Oryzias latipes: one gene and its partner. The protein of the gene in region 1 purifies or fractionates together with the protein of each later gene. This does not show direct contact. Links are inferred from orthologs where the notes say so. Each region holds a gene or a part of one and is shown on either strand. Other genes may lie near its edges.

Region 1 (6,461 bases):
AAATGGGCAATGCTCCCTTCAGGTCTACAGGGTTCAGGCTCAGAGCATAGAGTTAAAACAGAGGGAGCCCTCCCACTTTGTCCAATCAGAGCGGTGGGCACGAGGAACCCAAATGGCAACTGAAACGGGAGCATTAACAAGCTTTAGAGGAAAGCAGTTAAACAGCAGATGCTCCTAACACAATGTGGGAAATCAGGTCAGACATGAAAACTCTCTGCCCGTCAGCTGCTCCCTTCAGGGGTCACCACATCAGCAGGAATTATCAGCCTCCATCTGAATGGATTTTTCTGGACACTTTGGTGGTGATGCTGCATTTGAGGGACATTCAGGCCTGAATGTCAACATAATCTTCACTGATGCTGCATGCATCCACACCTACCAGCTGCCTCCTGTTCCTCTTCCACGTCTCTGCCTTCCTCTTGGAGTTCATGTTCTGAAAGGCTGTGAAAAGAAGGCAGGTTAGAGACTACTGCCCCCTGCTGGAAGGCCACAGAATACCCCACCTCTGCTCTAAAGCACTGGCCCCCAAACTGTGGCCCGCAGGCCAGATTCAGACCACCTCCACATTTAGCCTGGCCCCTGAACAACACCCTGTTCTGTCTTCTGTTTGGCTGTCAATCAATCTCTGCTGTGGTCTGTCATCCTAAATCACGATCAGATCTTTTACTGGACCTATTTTTCTCTGAAGGTTTAAACTTTGAGAGTGTAAACGAGAGAACATTTTGAGAATGTTCATGTCTGTCTCAGAAAAGACCAGAAAATGCCTTCAACATCTTTAATCCTACTTTGTGGATTTCACCATGAGAGTTACTTTTAAAATGTAAAGCATAGAAATGCCAAGCTGCAGCAGAAGACAAGAGAATGACCTTTTTCCATTAGCACTGGCAAAGAAACAGACGTGCAGCTCACAGTGCAGCCCAGAGAGGAGCTGCAGCCCCCAGAAGAGCTGCAGCCCCCAGAGAGGAGCTGCAGCCCCCAGAAAGGAGCTGCAGCCCCCAGAAAGGAGCTGCAGCCCCCAGAAAGGAGCTGCAGCCCCCAGAGAGGAGCTGCAGCCCCCAGAGAGGAGCTGCAGCCCCCAGAAGAGCTGCAGCCCCCAGAGAGGAGCTGCAGCCCCCAGAAAGGAGCTGCAGCCCCCAGAGAGGCTACCTTTGTGACTGTTTTATTGATGAATGAAACCAAGTTTTACTCCTCTGGATTTCTCCGGTGGCCATATTTACAACGCTATTCTGGGACCCTCACTTATCCTGGGCAGGGGTATTTTTTATTTCATTCAAAGGAATATTATTTATTCTGACTTGTTGACAGAAAGTAATGATCCCAGAAAGGGCTTTTAATAGTTGGTTATGCGTGGCTTTCAGGAAAACCATAAATGTTTCCATCCAGACAGACACTTCCTCTGTTAGCCTACAAACTGACCCCACCGGCCTACAGAAGCAGGATTTTCCATGACACTTGATAACCTGCTTTAACAAGGCAGGTCCCCTTAGCTCTACCTGAAGCAGACGTCAGCGCATCCCCAGCAGCCGGGGTGGGGGGGTCAGGAGTGAAAGTGACAGGAAAAAAAGCCATAAGACTGCACACAGTCACTGTTCATGTCCTCACTGCTGACGCCTGTCATGAAGCCGAAACTTCAGCCGATAACTCGCCACAGCTTTTCTCGTGTCGTTTCTTTCATTGTGTAACTTTGACCCCCACGCGTTCCTGCATAAGCTCGGACAGACAGTGAGGGAGAGGGGTGAAGGAAGGCTGCTTCATCCTCTTTGAGAAGCAGACTTCATGGCTGCCAGACAACAGCTCGTCCCAGATTTGGGTTGATCAGCACCTGGTTCTCACAGGTGCAGCTCCGCCTCTTCACCAAGACGCCAAATCAAAAACGTATGGGAGGAGCTGTCGACAGCCAGACAACACGAGGTCTGCAGCTCCTGGAGCTTGAACCAGCCTGAGACTGTTCTCAGAGCAGAAACCCCCACAGACGTTATAGAGAAAGGTGTTTGCTGACTCTGCTTGCTGAAGTCGCTGGGCAGGCTGTGGTTCAGGTTCTTGTAGAAGTCCGTGCAGTGAGCCTTCTTCAATCCCGTGCACAGACCGAAGTCTGACAGCTTCACGTGACCCTGGAGACACCAAGCAAACAGATACTGCATGAGTTCAGTAGCTTGGATTGGCCCGAGTGTGAACACAAAGAACTGGGCAGCTGCAGGTCCTGGAGGGAAATCTGCTTTGTCTGTAAGACCAGGATGAACACAGAGCACCTGAAGCAGACTTCAAACTCTAAACCTGGTAAATTCATTCATCTCTCACTGTGTAAAACAAAACTCTCCTCCTCTGTTCTCTTCAGCTCCTGTTATACATCAGCCTTTCACTATTCCAAGAACCAGAACCAGGGCTGGGTTCCAGCCATTTGAAGGACTGGAGTGTAGGACAGGAAACGGCTGAGGTACAAACAAAGCCTTTTCACTGGTTACCTGAGCTGAACTGCAGTGACCTTTCCTTCGTCTCATTAGGTTTAGGGACACATTCAAACAAGGGTTTGAACATTGGCAAAAAGTCGCATCGTGCATTTGTCCACGTCTCCTGAAACTTCCACTCTTTGACCCTGCAGGAGGAGGAGGAGGATGAGGAAGAGGACACTCACCCTGGCATCCAGCAGCAGGTTGTCTGGTTTGATGTCTCTGTGGATGAAGCCCAGCGTATGAATAGAGTCGATGGCCAGCACCGTCTCTGCAATGTAGAACTGAGTGGCCTCTTCTGTTAGAGTGTCCTTCTTCATCAGCAGGGTCATCATGTCCCCTTCAGAGAACATGACAATCAACACCCTGACAGCTTTTCCACCACAGTCCAGGTCTGATGAAAAACAGCTGCAGACAAACTCCTGGACTCACCTCCAGGAAGAAACTCCATGATGAGGTACAGGTTCATCTTGTCCTGGAAGCTGTAGAACATCTTGACCACCCACAGGCTGTCTGCCTCCACCAAGATGTCCCTCTCAGCACGAATGTGACCGACCTACAGACACAGACGAACCAAGTTCAAGGAGGAATAAACGTGAGACAAACTAGCATAAAGCGGGATAACGATGGACAAACGGATGAACCACTTTCAGCAGATGAGGAGCAGCTTTCCACAGCAGGAACACTGAGGTCTCACCTGCTCCTTCTCCAGCATGTCAGCTTTGCGAAGGATTTTCATGGCGTAGACATGGCCCGTGTCTTTCTTCTGTACCAGGCGGACCTGGAAGGACAGCAGTCAGTATGAACATCCCAGGCCAGGCCAGGCCAGAGGAAACACAGGAAAACACAGAAACAGAAGGGCCAAACAAAAGAATCAAAACTTCAAACGGTTTGATCCGAGTTACTGAGTTTAAAAAGATCAACTAACTCCAGGACTGTAAAGGTCACACTGGGACTCTGTGTTACCATGTTTGCCTCTTTGTGGCCCTGATGGAAAAATAGAGAACGACCCCCCCTTACCTCTCCAAATGCTCCTCGGCCAATCACCTTCAGGGACTCAAAGTCTTCCAGACCCAGTCGAGTTCGCTTCAGACGCAGAAAGTCGGTCTCTTTCCTGGCATGTTCGGAGCGACGGATACGTTTCTGCACACAGAAGCAGAAGATTTTCATTTGAAAAGAAGAAGCGTCACCGAACAGGTCGATCCTTCTGCTCATTGGCAGATGCTGCAGCGCCTCACCTCCTCGTCAGCCAGGCCCTCCTGGTCCATCACCTTCTCCAGCTTCTGCTGCCTACAAACACACGGATCATCAGGTCTGCTGCCCCGTTTTGTCTACAGACCTGATCTTCCCTCTTAATACCTTCATCACACTTGTCTGGCATGAGTCACACGGTTTACAGATGCTGAACACAGCCAGAGGTTGCTTAGTTCCTTATAATTACTACAAAGACATCGATGTGTCTAAATGCCAGCGGGAGGTCGTTCCAGAGCGAGCAGCCACAGCTTGAAAGGTGAGGTCTTCTCCGGTTTTAGTGCAACCTTTTGGGATTTGTAAAGCTTTTTGGTTGATGGACCTCAGGGGGTGAAAAGGCCAAAAATGTTTGCAGGAGTTTGTCAATGCAAGACTTTAAAAAAAGGGAAGTAAAAAGTCTAAATCAACTCTAAAGTGGCCTGGGAGCCATTGTAGAGAGGACAGTGAAGGAGTCATGTGTGCTTGACTCCAGTTCCCAGCCTCACAGCTTTGTCTTCTTCTCTTTTTTTAAATCAGCGGTAGGCATCCAGCATGATGCTGCATTACGCACTTTACTTACAAAATCATGGTTGAAAAAAAAAAACTTTAGACCAGAAACATCATAAAAGATTTGATCTGCACTATTGTTAAGAGCAACATATCAAAATTTAAGACTTTTTAAAATGCTTTTTTAGGCCTCATTTTCAAAGTCAAGTCGTTAGAGACGTGTTCAAACCAGTTATAAATTATTTTTATGCAATTACATTTTTTCCTAAAGAAAATTCTGAAGGTATTTCTGTGTGAATAATGTTATCATTTGACCAGTAAAAAAATATGTTTAGCTGGTAGATGTTATCCAATCAGACGGCCAACATGGTCGGTGACTCAAAACTTTTATTTCAGCCTCTGTGTGGAGTTATTACAGTTATTTAAAATCTGACATAAAACAGAGTAACTTACAGCAAATGGTGCAGAAGTCATCTTCCTTCTAAAACTGGAAACAGCATTAACCTGTTTTATCAGCTGAAGCAGATCCACCAATCATGTTCAATGTCACTGAAGGAAACCAGGATTCTCCAGCAAAAACAACAACGATCAGACCTGAACAGCAGCAACAGTCTGACTACCAGGACAAACTCTGAGACTTTGCTTTTAGTTCCTACATTATTCACAGGATGTTGACAAAAATGTTTGTTCTGTAAAACTAAAAAAAAAATTAAATTATTTGTAGAGTAAATGTTTTGTTTTTAAATGGAACAGCTCAAACAGTTTAACATTCTGTTTTCCTGATGTTCTCTTGGAAAGCTTTTGCTTTAATCGCGGTCCTTCATCTGTTATGTTTAAAGGATGATGGAAATAAAGGTTTAGACCTGAACAACCTGCTGATGATCACACATTTCTATTATGAGCACATCACATTAGACAAATATAGGTTTATATTGTGATATACATCACTATTACCTGATATGAAAAACTATATAGTGACATCAAACATTCTCTGTACTGGAACCAGAGGAGGAATGACAACGTTTCCTAACAGGAAGTAGCATTTCTTCATCTTATGAGGCGAGAACGTCTGCAGCCGTCCCCTCAAAAAGACAGCCAGCATTCCAGCTGACAGACGCAGAGAATGCTGGGAATGACTGGTGGAAGGAGCTCACCTCATCTCCCTCTCCTCGTGCTGAGCGATGAGGTTACTGTAGAAGTTCTCCAGGGTCACCTTGGCCATGGTGACCCGCTCCTTGGTGTGGTTGCTCATGGAGGAAAACGAGCTCTGTCCGGTCATTGCCATGCTTTATCTGCAAAACCATAACTTTAATTAGACTCATTCATTTGTCATTTCTCTCTGATTATGAATCAGTTTGGGAGTCGGACACCGAGTTCAGAGAGCGACTCAGACCCGCCATGACACCCTCACTACATTTCTGTCATCTGTCCACTTGCACAGCTTTATATACTGTTGCCCTTTTTTATTTTGATATTGATTTAAACCGTCTTCATGGAAGCAAAGTCCAAAGCTGCGGCTCTCGTCTGTGGTTTGCATTTTCATCTCCACCCAGACTGAGGCCTTTGTAAGGTTACGATGGCGGTCACAGTTAACGCTCCGTTTCCGTCTCCGGCCCTCTGAGCTGTAAGACGCCAAACTATTTGGATGGGATGTCAGAGTTTCACAGCTCATGAACATCCCTTCATGGGACTAAGGGGGCAGCTTCACTTTGACCACATGGCACCAGCAGACATGTCGAGAGCAGATTTAGCTGCTGGAGGCCTGTGTCAGTGACTGCAGGGCTCTGGATCCCTTTGAAACCAAGACCAGAACCAGCACGATGACCACATGTCAGACATACATTCTAGGTTCATTGTGTCAAAAATAAAACTTCAGTGAGAAGGAAACCATGTCTGAAGTGTCCAAGCTGATGAACAGCTGCTGGAAGCCCCCATTCCAGATGTTTTCAACCTTCAGATTTGCATAAATACCTCAGAGGGCCGGTGTGCATGGAGAAACATAACATCCCTTCAACTCTTTGGTTTTTTTTCACTCAGACTGTTCAGATCTACAGAAATGTGCTGAAACGTGAAGTAGGAATATTTCTCAAAGTGCATAATAAATGTTTGGACTTTTGTGAGGAGCACAGAGGAACCCCGGTAATTCTGTGTTTACGATGATCAAACTGTGATGATTCCCTGCCTTGAATCGGTTTTCCCAAATAAACGACAGCCAGGTCGATGCTCCAGCGTGAGGTTTGGGAAGCCCCCTCTAAGGGCCTGAGTCCTGCTATGCTA
Region 2 (6,461 bases), on another chromosome or scaffold:
CCTCTGCTTCCGGCTGGTTGGTTGGGGGGGTCCCTGCTTTAGGGAGGGAGGGGGGCAGGCTGCTCTCCTCCTATGGCGTCGTCCGTCGCCCCAGAGGCCTCCGCGGCGCCCCCGCTCATCTCTCCGTGACATGGTTTTGTGAGGAAGGAGAGGGGGCGGAGCTGGGGGCGGGGAGGGGGGCGGGGTTGCAGAGTACTTCGGACAGGTCGTCCATGATGCAGGTCTCCTTGGGGTCCACCAGGTTGAACTCCCGCACGAAAACCACGAAATGTGCAAACAGAGTGTTCAGGTGGCCCTGCAGGTCCAGCGCCACCGTCTCCTTAAAGTGCGCCCAGTACAGGTGCGCCAGCACGTGGAACAGGTACCGGCAGATCTTCTTCACCAGCGACTCAAACGAGTTGGGGAACTCTTTCCCTGGAAGGAGGAAGAGGAGAAACCGGTTTGAGGGCGGGAGGAGCAACCGGGACGGCGCTCCGAAGATCAAAGGGAAGCGGAAACGTCGCCGTTTCAGAAAAACGGGGAAATCTTTTGGATTTGACGGGAAAAAAACGCATTTGTGTAACGGTGTCTTCATTGGGGGCGTGACTTCATCGCATCATCACAGATATTTACAGACAGATTAACACTTATGGCAAAAACAATCACGTCTGACGTCACTGTCGGCGCCCGTCTTTGGTTGTGTCCGAATTCCCGCCTTACTCGCTCTCTGGCGTTCGCCCTTCCGTAGTGCTGTCAGAATCTACAACTCCAGAACGCAGCGCCCAGGAAATTTCCCAGAATTCTCTGAAAAACCAGTCTGAACCTATGCTCACTAGATCGGCGTGTATGGACCACAATGCATTGCGTCGTTTAAATGTTTTTTTTTAATAAACGTTGTAATCTTCAGAAGACACTGGACTCATAAATAATCATCTCAAAACGCTCAAGTTCATTAGATTTTCACTCTGAAATGCATCAGAATGGCTTCTATAATCCAGGGCACTGCATGGTCCCACTATAGACTGTTTTAGTAGTTAGGGCGGGGGTTCGGACCCCCCACCAGTCCATGAACTCCATCAATGTGCCACCAAAAACCAGCCACAGCTTTGATCCATCGTGATGACCAGGCGTTCGTTAGCATCGATAAAGCAGACGTGGAGGACGGTAAACTGTGTTTCTCTGTGGAGAATATGTTTTATGCGTTAAGTCAGAGACTCTGGACTGGATGATTGGTTCTCATTTTTGTTGGAGATTAAAAAAATTCCCTTGTTGGTGACAAAGTAAAGGTTGTTTTAGGAAAACTTCATAAGTTATATTTTGATGTCATGAATTCAGATTAAAAAACCCTCAAAATGAGGCTTTTGGCAGAAATTCTTAGGTTAGATTGTAAATCTGGCATGACAGCTCTACGTTTACTCTTCCTGTCGGACTCTGCAGCATCACTGAAGCTCCGCCTCTGCACCAGCAGGGGGCGCTGATCTCACCGTATTTAGTGGGGAAGATCTCCTCGTCCGTCACCAGCTTCTGACAGAGACTCATGACGAAGTCGACGTACTGCGGCGCCGTGCACTTCGTCTTCCTCCCCTTCTCGTCATACCAGTAGTAGGTTCTGGAAGAGAAAGATGGCGTCAATGCCGCCGCCGCAGCGTTTCACAACAGCATGGGGAAAGGGGGCGGGGCTACTCCAGGGTACAGTCTGGAATGGAGGATCGGCTGTGGGGGCCACGTTTCCTGGAGCGTGCGTCAGATGAGCAGGTCACATGACCTCCTCTCTGTCAAACGTCACCTGCTGCTTCAGAGGCGACATCAGAACCAGAACCTTCCTGGTTCAGAGATCATGAGATACCCCCCCCCCCCCCCCCCCCCCCCCCCCAATCCAGAAACCTGCTGCACTGTGGGTTTAAAACCAGAACCTTCCAGAAGTTCTGAGCTCCTCATGAAAGAGCCGTTCGGTTTTGGCTGTGAACGCCACAAAGGGGGGGATAAGCCGGGATGGATCCAGCCCCCCCCCCAACCATAGACCGCTTTAAGTGCGGGTTAAGAGCCCCCCCCCCCCCCCCGGAGCTCATGGAAACATTTGCTCTATTTTTAGAAGCTGGCGGCGCCTGCAGGCCCAGAATGACGCTGCTGCAACCGTGGCTCTGCCAGAGTTCACCACAGAGGGGGGGGCACCCACAGGGAAGGGTGGGGGACCCACAGGAAAGGGGGGGGGGGGACTGGAGCCCAACAGTCAGAATTACAGACACTGAAGTCCAGAGAGGAGGAACCGTTTCTCCTCTGGATCCAATCTCTGGCTCCGCCTACGACCGAACCGGCTGCTGCCCCTCCCGCCGGCGCCAAGCCTGCTTCTGGGTGGAGTGGAAACCCCCCCCGGGCCGACCTCCTGGCCGGCTGGGTCAGAGCGGCTCTTCCAGTGGAACCGGCTTCCCCAGCGGGAAGGATGAAAGGCATCCCGCCAAAAAACAACACAGGCGGAACCACACCCCCCCACACAACAGCAGGTAGATCAACCGCCTCCCTGGGAAAACTGCAAAGGGGCGGGGCTTCAAACAGCAGCAATAGTGCAAGGTTTGATTGATGAAAACGATCAAAGCACAGCAGGAATCACACACAGTCTGGGACGCTGCACCACAGCCACAGCATAGCTGCTGTTTTCATTTAGCAGCAGTGGGTCTAACCCTTCGGCCCGTTCCCAGACGGACCAGAACTAGCCGACCTCACGTGACCCTTCGGGAGGATCCGGGGGTTAAAGGACAGGAAGGGGGGCTTACGTGCTGCAGGCGGCGCTCATGGCCTGGCAGGTGTCCCCGGTGCAGAACTCGGATATGGTGCTGTACTGCAGGTTGATGAGGTTGAAGAAGGTGGTCGCTGTGGAGGAGAGGGCAGCACGTTAGGAGGAATCGGATCAGAACCGAACATTCTGGTCTACAGACCGAATCTGGAAGGGTTCCCACCTTCCAGAACCTTGCTGGAATTTGTTATTGCGGAACCTGACTTCAGACACGTCCAGAACGTTTGTGACACATCAGCCCCCAAACACATGACAGAAGAGAGGAGCTGAACCCAGAGGGGCTCAGAGGAGGCATGTGAGTCGGGGTGGGGGGGGGGGGGGGGTGTATCGGACTATTTTATTTGTCAACACTAGAAAGCCCAAACAACCCTGAGTGAATTTAGAAGCAGACGTGTAGTTCAACCTCCGACCACTAGTGGGCAGCGCAGAACGCCTTCCTGTTTCAGCCGCTCGGCGCCAAAACATCACCGCCTGAACCGCCTCGTGGCAGAGCTGACTCAATTGCTGTGTTTTTAGTTTAGTTTGTTTTAAAGCTCCGGTTTGAGCTCCGTTAGAACCGTTTCAGAACCGGTAAGAATCCAAACTACCCATCCTGGTTGGTGTCTTTGGTGGTTTAATGCTAAACTCATAAATAAACAGAACTTCCTTTTCTTATAGAACCTTATTGGTTAAAGCTCGTCTGAGCTTCGGTTCTTCATACTGAAAGTTCTGTTGTCGTGGAAACCAAACGGTGCTGAAAACCTTTTTCCTTAATGAACCAACCAGAAGAACCAGGAAGTTGCTGTTCTCAAAGCTTCTGCCATGTTGGATAGCGCCTCAAAGGGATTTTATGGTTGAATGCACGTGAAAGGTGCTTTATAACTTTTCCCGCCCAGAACCGGCCCACCTGAGAGAGCCGGATCTGGGCGGGACAATCTTGTTCAGACGCTTGTCACTCACTGTTGCTGGCCAGCCATTCGTTCAGGTCTATCTCCCGGGGCAGCACCACCAGCTCCTTCAGGTCAAAGTCCACCACCCGGGTTTTGGTGAACTCCGGCTCCAGGTACTGCTTCTTCTCCTCCACCGGCGCCTTCTTTCCGTTGGGCTTCGGCTTGGACTTCCTGCGACACAGAGAGGAGGAGGAGGGGGGTTAAAGTGGAGAAGAGGAAACAGAAGCTGTAGTATGTCGGGGGAGGACGGCGTGAAAGGAGGGGGGAGGAATCTCCCTCGCAGCTCCACGTCATGCGGCTGTGAAACAAAACCAACCGGATTTTCAAGAAGCGCCAACAGGAAGTCACCTGTCAGTCTGATGACCCCAATAATGTTTCTGGGAAAACAGAAACTTTCACAGGACCCCACCCCCAACAGAAAACAGCACGGGGTGGGGGGGGGGCATCACGCCAGCTTTCCAACTTCTAGCAGACGCTCGGCCGTCCACGGACGCCTTTGACACCTGGACGCCACATCACACCCCGCCTTCACGTCCAGAGCTCCCCCTCCTCCTTCCCCCACTGACCCAGGCGCTGATTCTGAGGAACAGAAGAGGGGCCAGAACACTGTCCCACCTTCAACTCGCGGGTTCGATTTCTACAAAACTGTTTTTAGTCCCTGAGCAGCTTGTATCACAAATGGAGAAGAAAGACGAAGATCAGCGACCCGCTCCAGGCAGAGACTCCCTGCCCTGACCCCCCCGATGTATTTCTGCAGGAAGAGCTTTTAGCCTCTGCAAACAAGCAGGCATGTCCACACGGGGGTGGGGTGGGGGGTCAGTAAACATACAGAGATCTCCATCAGCGTTTGAACTTCCCAAGTCATTAAACCGGGTCAGAACCACTTCATGATGAATGTCAGGACTGTTCTCTGATCAGATCTCCAGCTGCTCCTCATCGTCATCTTCCTCCTTCAGGCTCATCAGGTCAGAGTTAGATGTCTGGACGTTTGTCCAAAGCCCCCCACCACCTCAAATGAAGTCCTTTTACAGAAGTTCTTGCGGGACCCCCTCCCCCAGGTTAGGGGTTCATCCCAAGAACCTGCCGCTGCCAGGTTAGGCTGCATTAGAACATCTACCTGACGCTCTACGACAACGGGACGTCCACAAAGACGCAGCAGACATGCAGCTCAGTTAGGGGCGGAGCTAGCAGCCCGCCGTCAAGAGTTCTGACACCTCAGGAGAAGCTTCTCCAGAAGCAGGAGAACCTCAGGGTTCTGTCTGGAGAAGGAGGAGGTTCTCAAACATCTGCTGAAGCTCCTTGTTTGCTCCTGCGGTCCTCAGAGGAGGAGGTGCAGCGTGACCGTCTCTACCTGTTCCAGGTGTTCCAGGAGAGGGGGCAGCGCTCAGCCGCTCGTTAGTCTCCACAGCAGTTTCTGTCTGGAAACAGGTGAAGCCCGGCTCGCCACGCCCATATTTAAGGACACGCCCACCTGTTTAGTCATATGATCACTGTCAAATTCCACTGAGAAATTCCAAGTGTGAGGAAGAACCCACGAAAGAAGATCTAAAGAGGATCTAAAGAAGATCTAAAGAGGATCTAAAGAGGATCTAAAGAAGATCTGAAGAAGATCTGACGACTATAGTTTTAGATCAGAGAAGATTAAAAAAATAACTTTCAGGGCTGAAGTGTGAATTCTAATCAGATCAGAAACATGACATAAAGGTGGAGATTTCTGTCTGCACTGATCAGGAAATGTTCAGCTTCACATCTCCCACAGTCACCTGGACCCGCGGGACAGAAACGGCACGTGGGGGCGCCCTCCCCCCGCCCTCGCAGCACAGACCGAGAGCGGCGTCCGAGCCACCCGCGCGCGCCTCCTGACGGCCCGGTTGAAAGCAAAGTGTCGGAAGATCAAAGGCGAGTACCTGAGGACTTTCCCGACCGCCTGCAGAACCATTTTAATCCCGTTCTTAGAGTTCTTCTGCGGGTGCATGACCGCCTGGTCTCCGGGACAGGAGCCGGAAATCTCCGCTCACAACACGGAGAAACGCGGCTCCGCTCCGACGCGCCCGTCTGGACTCCTCACAGACTCGGGAGCTGCGCGGAAGACTCTGCTCCCTCCGCCGCTCTCAGCCAATCAGAGCGCGCGGGGGGCGGGCAGAGGTGACGTCAAACATCCGCCCATGTGGCCGTGGTTTGTCCTCTGTGTGTAATTACACCGTCAGGGATCAGCTTTTTCTGTCCTTCTCCAGACAGATTATGTCCACTCATTTCTAAAGTTGGTTCCTCAGAACCGGGACAGGTTCTGTCTGGGTTCTGCTCATCCACAGAGACAGAGGTGGAAGAAAAAGAGACAAGATGCTCCATTCAGCAGAACTTGACATCAGCAGCAAGATACTTTCTGATGCCTGAACCAGAACCAGAACCCAAGTCTGGCAGAGATCAAGAGAAGATGTGCTGATATCCTCCTGGCTTCTATCAGAGTCCCTGATGAAGAAGAAGACGACGCCATGGGATGAAGGTTCTGGGAATCTCAACAGGAAATGAGCTTCAGTCCCGAAAACCGAAGCCGCTCAAAGGAGAGAAAGCAGACGCATCAATAAAAACCTCAACTTCTACTTTTACGATTCCTTCAGAGTAAAACTAACAGATTTGTATGAGAACTGATCAAGTTTTTAGGAGGAAACCATTTGACAGAAACCCCTGAAGCTCCTGAAAATGAAAGCAGCCGGTTCACTTTCACTATTTCTGACAACAGCCGGCAGGTAAAATGTGAAGTT

Evidence for each region.
Region 2: the proteins of stk38 (region 1) and mob2 purify together in Homo sapiens (affinity purification with mass spectrometry; 7 studies listed by BioGRID and IntAct, with this or other methods). This does not show direct contact. The link is inferred for Oryzias latipes from reciprocal best matches to the Homo sapiens genes STK38 and MOB2.

Annotation. Positions count from the first base shown.
Region 1 is NC_019865.2:33,690,094-33,696,554, reverse strand, and holds part of stk38 (serine/threonine-protein kinase 38), read right to left. Parts: intron 5,477-6,461; 5' UTR 5,470-5,476; coding exon 5,339-5,469; intron 3,738-5,338; coding exon 3,686-3,737; intron 3,591-3,685; coding exon 3,468-3,590; intron 3,229-3,467; coding exon 3,145-3,228; intron 3,004-3,144; coding exon 2,880-3,003; intron 2,788-2,879; coding exon 2,633-2,787; intron 2,112-2,632; coding exon 2,000-2,111; intron 442-1,999; coding exon 380-441; intron 1-379. UniProt on the Homo sapiens protein: Serine/threonine-protein kinase that acts as a negative regulator of MAP3K1/2 signaling. Converts MAP3K2 from its phosphorylated form to its non-phosphorylated form and inhibits autophosphorylation of MAP3K2.
Region 2 is NC_019864.2:31,187,460-31,193,920, forward strand, and holds part of mob2 (MOB kinase activator 2), read right to left. Parts: intron 5,779-6,461; exon of another isoform or gene 5,675-5,778; coding exon of another isoform or gene 5,607-5,674; intron 3,871-5,606; coding exon 3,710-3,870; intron 2,848-3,709; coding exon 2,751-2,847; intron 1,589-2,750; coding exon 1,464-1,588; intron 415-1,463; coding exon 116-414; 3' UTR 1-115. UniProt on the Homo sapiens protein: Stimulates the autophosphorylation and kinase activity of STK38 and STK38L.